Saccharomyces cerevisiae S288C: one gene and its partner. The protein of the gene in region 2 interacts with the protein of the main gene of each other region in a pairwise test. Each region holds a gene or a part of one and is shown on either strand. Other genes may lie near its edges. The genes, in order: RBG1 and GIR2.

Region 1 (3,708 bases), on a different chromosome or scaffold from region 2:
TTCGGTAGTCGTGAATCTTTGCTCACCAACTACAGCAGCAGTAGCAACAAAGAAGGCCGCAATTGATTTGTATATACGAAACAATACAATACTACTACAGAAATTCGTTGGACAGTACTTGCAGATGGGCAAAAAGATAAAAACATCTTTAACACAGGCACAAACCGATACAATCCAATCACTGCCCCAGTTTTGTAATTCGAATGTCCTCAGTGGTGAGCCCTTGGTACAGTACCAGGCATTCAACGATCTGTTGGCACTCTTTAAGTCATTTAGTCATTTTGGAAATATCTTGGTTATATCATCACATTCCTATGATTGCGCACTTCTCAAATTTCTTATTTCCAGGGTGATGACCTACTATCCACTAGTGACCATCCAGGATTCTTTGCAATATATGAAAGCAACCCTGAACATATCCATCAGTACATCCGATGAGTTCGATATTCTGAATGATAAAGAACTGTGGGAGTTTGGCCAAACCCAGGAAATTCTAAAACGTAGGCAGACGAGCTCAGTCAAGAGGAGATGTGTCAATTTACCAGAAAACTCTACGATCGATAACAGAATGCTTATGGGTACCACAAAGCGAGGTCGCTTTTGAAGAGCCCTCGGTAGCATAACATTTTTAATTATTACGACTGTTTTTTTTATTCATTATGTAGAGATAATTAAATGTTATAGATGCTCTATACTCAAACGGTGGAAGAAAAACAGCGAAAAAAAATAACCGATACCCCCTTTTCGAATACAAATGCTTGTATATTCAATTATGAATTATTTTTTTTTTTTTTCATTTCTTATATTATTTTTTGTTCGAGAATCACTTTTTCAAGATGGTAACAACATCTTCGTCTTCCAAAATGTGACTCAACCCCACGTATTGAGGTTGATGTTTGACACTGCTACCGTAAACCAGAGCATTTCTAAAGTCGTCCACTAAAGATTTATGAATTTGGTTACAAAAATCCTTGACACTGCAACGGTCTGATCTTAGCACCACAGGGTCGGTAAAATCTGGTATTTGGCCCTTTGGTTTAGTGTAAATACGGACTAGATTTAGTCTATCCCACATGACTTGCAACAGCTCGTCCAAGTTCCAATCTTGACCAGACGAAATAGGCACGGCATTAGGAATTCGGTAAAGTAATTCCAATTCCTCTATTGACAGAGAATCAATCTTGTTTAACACATAGATGGCAGGCATGTATCTTCTTGACGAAGCTTCCAAAACATCAATCAAATCATCCACAGTGGCATCACACCTGAAGGCAATCTCAGCGCTATTTATTCTGTACTCGCTCATAACGGCTCTGATTTCGTCATTCCCCAGATGGGTCAATGGGACTGTGTTTGTGATGGAAATACCACCTTTCTCTTTTTTTTTGATCAAGATATCTGGCGGAGTTTTATTCAGACGAATCCCCACACCTTCCAGTTCCTTCTCAATGATTTGCTTATGATGCAAGGGTTTGTTCACATCTAGGATGATAAATAACAGGTTACAGGTTCTTGCCACGGCAATAACTTGCTTACCTCTACCTCTACCATCCTTAGCACCATCGATAATACCAGGTAAATCCAACATTTGGATCTTGGCACCTTTATAACGAATGACACCGGGGACGGTAACCAGGGTGGTAAACTCGTACTCAGCTGCTTCAGACTCAGTACCAGTCAACTTGGACAGTAATGTAGATTTCCCCACCGACGGGAACCCGACAAACCCCACACTGGCCACACCAGTTCTAGCCACATCAAAACCAATACCAGCACCACCACCGCTGCCGGATGAAGCACTGGTCAACAATTCTCTTCTCAGTTTGGCCAGCTTGGCCTTCAGTTGACCCAAATGGAAAGATGTGGCCTTGTTCTTTTGGGTACGGGCCATTTCATCTTCGATAGCTTTGATTTTTTCAACTGTAGTAGACATTTTGCTCAATCAACAACTCTACGCTTGCACCTACTGCATCTAGCTTCAAACACTTCCTATCATTGCGCCCTCATCACACCGTAATATCCCATCTTAAAAGTGGAAAACTCTTATAGCTCATCGATGAAAAAAACGGGCCCTCGTCGCTTGTGATGTGAAAAAATTTTTCAAGCTTTAAGCCCATTGAAAGCAAGAGATCTTGCACTAGAATAAGTGGCAAAGGTGAACTTTGAGGGGATAAGAAGGGCAATCAGGAACATCAGATAAGTGAAAGATGGCGAAAAAGAGTAAAAAGAACCAACAGAACTACTGGGATGAGGAATTCGAAGAAGACGCCGCCCAGAACGAAGAAATCAGTGCCACGCCAACTCCAAATCCAGAAAGCAGCGCAGGTGCAGATGACACTTCCAGAGAAGCAAGTGCAAGTGCTGAAGGTGCTGAGGCCATTGAAGGCGACTTCATGTCTACTTTGAAGCAATCGAAGAAGAAGCAAGAAAAGAAGGTTATTGAAGAGAAGAAGGATGGTAAGCCTATACTAAAGTCCAAGAAGGAAAAGGAGAAGGAAAAAAAGGAAAAGGAGAAGCAGAAGAAGAAAGAACAAGCTGCCAGGAAGAAGGCCCAACAGCAAGCTCAAAAGGAGAAGAACAAGGAGTTGAACAAGCAAAATGTTGAAAAAGCTGCTGCTGAGAAGGCTGCTGCTGAGAAATCCCAAAAATCTAAAGGTGAAAGTGATAAACCAAGTGCTAGTGCTAAGAAGCCAGCCAAGAAAGTACCTGCCGGTTTGGCTGCTTTGAGACGTCAATTAGAATTGAAGAAACAACTTGAAGAACAAGAAAAGTTGGAAAGAGAGGAAGAAGAAAGATTGGAGAAAGAAGAGGAGGAAAGATTGGCCAACGAAGAAAAAATGAAGGAAGAAGCTAAAGCAGCTAAAAAGGAAAAGGAGAAGGCAAAGCGTGAAAAACGAAAGGCTGAAGGTAAGCTATTGACCAGAAAGCAAAAAGAAGAAAAGAAATTATTGGAAAGAAGACGTGCCGCTTTATTGTCTTCCGGTAACGTCAAAGTTGCCGGTCTGGCCAAGAAGGATGGAGAAGAAAACAAACCAAAGAAGGTTGTTTACAGCAAGAAGAAGAAGAGAACAACCCAGGAAAACGCCTCCGAAGCCATTAAATCTGACTCTAAGAAAGACTCGGAAGTTGTACCTGATGACGAACTCAAAGAATCCGAAGATGTTTTGATTGATGATTGGGAAAATTTGGCTCTTGGTGATGATGACGAGGAGGGAACCAACGAAGAAACGCAAGAATCCACCGCAAGCCATGAAAATGAAGACCAAAATCAAGGCGAAGAAGAAGAAGAAGGAGAAGAAGAAGAAGAAGAAGAAGAAGAAAGAGCACATGTGCATGAAGTTGCCAAAAGCACACCAGCAGCTACACCAGCAGCTACTCCAACTCCATCCAGCGCTTCTCCAAACAAAAAAGATCTTCGTTCCCCAATTTGTTGTATTTTGGGTCATGTCGATACCGGTAAGACTAAATTGTTAGACAAAATCAGACAAACCAACGTTCAAGGTGGTGAAGCTGGTGGCATCACCCAACAGATTGGTGCCACTTATTTCCCCATCGACGCTATTAAGGCAAAAACTAAAGTTATGGCTGAATATGAAAAACAAACTTTTGATGTCCCAGGTCTTTTGGTTATTGATACCCCAGGTCACGAATCCTTCTCTAACTTACGTTCAAGAGGTTCTTCATTGTGTAACATCGCAATTTTGGTTA
Region 2 (3,589 bases):
AGCAGATCAAAAATAAAGAACAGCAGAGGAAAAGAAAGCAACAACAAGATAGCATCCCTGACTTAATCGATCTTGACGATAGTACTAGCACCACGAATAATATAACAATAGACAATGGTAATAATGACAACAAAAACAATAATATCAACAGCAATAGTGATGATGATGATGATGAGTTTGGCGACTTCCAAAGCGAAACGAGTCCCGACACAACAGCACCTAAAACTTCCAATAGTAAAATAGATGATTTGCTTGACTGGGATGGCCCAAAGTCAGACACAGATACCACCGCTGCTGCGCAAACATCATTGCCCTTTGCGGAGAAAAAACAGCAAAAAGCCCGTCCTCAGGCTACAAAGGACAAGTCGAAGGGAAATGATGCATTTTCCGACTTATTCTCTTACTCCAAGTCGTTGGTCTAATCACCAAATACCCCTTCATCTCCCAATACATTCAATACAGTCAACAAATTTTCATTCTCAGATATATGTATCCATATATACACTAATAATATCTTACTAAAAACTTGTCTATTTCCTTCTTCAAATGTCAGTTTTCTTTTTATTGAATATCAAAAAAATATTATATAGATACATTTGTATATGTCATTATCCATGCAGAAGAAAATACTTAAATACTTAAGTACACAAGTATTTATTGATTTGCTATTTCGGTCTTGGCAAGTCCCTTGGCTACGTCATCTACACTCGCGTCATCCTCTTCCATATACTCGTCGCCTGTGCCCACCACGCCTTGTTCAAACATTTGCTTACCGGTTAGCTTCCCATGATGAGCCTTCATCCTTCTCACCTGGTCTCTTTCATCCAGTTTCAGTTCTTGGCGAAATTTAGACCTCCATTCCAAGTACGATTCTCTTGTGACTTTAGTACCATGGAACTTGGCCTGTTCCTTCTTTTCACGTTCTTGTGCTTCCAGCTCGTACTGCTTCTCGAGCTTATTCAATTGTTCACTATACCATTGCTCACATCTTTCTTTTATGGATGAAATCAATGCAAAACACATTTGCATACCCAATAACATATCGGTTTCGATTTGCGATTCTAATTGTACGGTTAATTCAGGCAAGTACCCCTTAAAGCTTATTAAATCTGGCAGGTTTTCAAACTTTTTCAGTACTTTATTACCATGGTCGTCATATTCAACCTCGTCTTCATCTTCCTCGTTATCTTCTTCGTTGTCATTGAGGGCTACTTCTTGAGCTTCCAATGAAATCAGGCATGGTTCGTCAGGGTAGTTTTCTGGTAACTTGAATTCGGCGATTATAGTGTGCTCTTTGGTTAAAACAGAAGTAGAATCACCTGTATCCAGCTCTAATTTAATGGCTACTTCAAATTTAATCTTTGGGTATTCATCGTTTATGATCCTCAGTTCATCAGGATAAATGGACTCTAAAACTTCTAGTTCCTGCTTCTGTTCTTCCTTATAATCCATAGTATTAACAAGTGCCTTCTGGATATGGAGGGAGGGCTTTTCCTTAAATTATACCAACCGACAGCATGGGAAACTCAGCTCTTTAAAGCCAATCTAACGATGCCTGCTGATTTTACAATTGGAAAATAGAAAATTTTCATTTTCCACCTTCTGTTACCCGAGTTTATAGACCTAGGATTTCCAATCATTACTTATTAGGACATTCGGGAAAAATATACATATATGGCCCACTTCTCTCACATCTCTTTTAGGGTCTGTGCCAATGGCACCCAAATTTTTCTTCTTTCTTTTTCGCTCGTATTCTCTCACGCTCTTGATCAGTGTGAGCAGTTACTAATATACTGGATCAGAGAACATTAACTCAAAGGTTGATAGTGTAGATCATTGGACATAGTGTGACGGTTTTGCACTCTTGTTGCGCTTGCTCTCTTAACAAGTCACATCTTATTTAGCCTCTTCACCCATAAGTTGATTGTAAAGCCGTAGAACCCTATATCACAGTCTCTTCGGCAACTCAACCAATAAGAACTATTAAGGATTAACACTAGCCATGATGCCGAATGTTGCTCCAAACAGCTACTATTTAAACATACCGAATGCCAATTCGACCTCAACGACTACGTCCTCGATCTTTTCTGATCTCAACAAGGAGTACGAGTCAAAGATTAAAGAAATCGAAGAATATTATATAAAGACACTGCTCAATGAAAATACCGATAATGATGACAGCAGCAGCTCCGAGGGGCATAATATAAATGAAACGGACATTTTAAGTGAATACTCACCAAGGCCTTCTCCTTGGTTACCATCCAAACCAAACTGTTATCATCCGTTGGGAGATTTTAAAGACTTGATCATATCAGATTCCAGACCTACAAATACATTACCTATTAATAACCCTTTCGCAGGCAATAATAACATCTCAACACTTGCTACAACTGAGAAAAAACGTAAGAAAAGGTCACTCGAAGTTGAGATTAACCCTACTTACACGACAAGTGCATTTTCATTACCCCTGACAGCGGAGAATTTACAAAAACTATCTCAGGTGGATTCTCAGTCTACTGGACTTCCATACACACTTCCAATTCAGAAAACAACAAAACTGGAACCTTGTAGAAGGGCACCTTTGCAGCTTCCTCAATTAGTCAATAAGACCTTATACAAAACTGAGCTCTGTGAATCTTTTACTATTAAAGGCTATTGTAAGTATGGAAATAAATGCCAATTTGCTCATGGTCTTAATGAACTGAAATTCAAGAAAAAATCAAACAATTATAGAACTAAACCTTGCATAAATTGGTCGAAGTTAGGCTACTGTCCGTACGGTAAGCGTTGCTGTTTCAAACACGGTGATGATAAGGACGTTGAAATATATCAAAATGCTAACGATGGAAGAAGTAAGGATACGGCGTTGACTCCACTTCCTACTTCCCTAGCCCCAAGCAACAACGATAATATCACTAATTTGAGTAAGCCTAGGAACTTACATACTAGTGTTAAAGCATTGCAAAGGATGACTTGGTAGTCGGTCAACAACAAAGCCCTTTGAATATTTGGCGTATTTCTGCTGCCTCTCCTTATTTATTTATTCATTATCGTTTTCATATTTATTTCAGTCACAAAACAAAATTAAAGAATTCGTGACCTACTAACATGAGAATTAGTTAATTTAATCTTTTTAGTTTATTTATTTCATTAGGTAGAATTTTTTTTTCTTTCTCTGATCTTTCAGTGTTACTCATCGGTGGCAAACGTGTTTACAGGACTAAAAATCGAAATAATGATTATTATTGTTCTTAATTTACTTAGAGTTATTTAGTTTTTTTAACTATCGTAAATTGCCAAATGATCGGCTTTGTGGTACTCTATGTCTTAGAGACCTTGTAGATACGGACCTTCTCGATGCGCTAAGTCTTTTACTGGAGCTCTTTGTATTTTCGCCGGGCAATGGGAAAATCTTTCCTGAATACATATTATCTGTTGGATCATCAGCGATGTCCTCTAAACTTATCCCTTGCATGTTCCTTTGAAGTAAATAACGTAATGAATTATACCAAATATTGTGTCTTTGCCTTGTAGGACAAGTAAACTTAATAGTCCTAGTTTCTGTGGTAACAACAATACTTTTGTGATA

Evidence for each region.
Region 1: the proteins of GIR2 (region 2) and RBG1 interact in binary tests that used the Saccharomyces cerevisiae proteins (3 or more experiments, as listed by UniProt).

Annotation. Positions count from the first base shown.
Region 1 is NC_001133.9:74,220-77,927, forward strand, and holds RBG1 (GTP-binding protein RBG1), read right to left. Parts: upstream 1,934-3,708; coding exon 824-1,933; downstream 1-823. Other genes in the region: YAL037W (uncharacterized protein), read left to right, coding at 1-604; FUN12 (translation initiation factor eIF5B), read left to right, coding at 2,208-3,708. UniProt on the Saccharomyces cerevisiae protein: Involved in ribosomal function.
Region 2 is NC_001136.10:763,569-767,157, reverse strand, and holds GIR2 (Gir2p), read right to left. Parts: upstream 1,453-3,589; coding exon 655-1,452; downstream 1-654. Other genes in the region: ENT5 (Ent5p), read left to right, coding at 1-422; putative mRNA-binding protein CTH1, read left to right, coding at 2,003-2,980; NUM1 (Num1p), read right to left, coding at 3,284-3,589. UniProt on the Saccharomyces cerevisiae protein: Acts as a negative regulator of the GCN2 kinase activity by disrupting the GCN1-GCN2 interaction in amino acid-starved cells.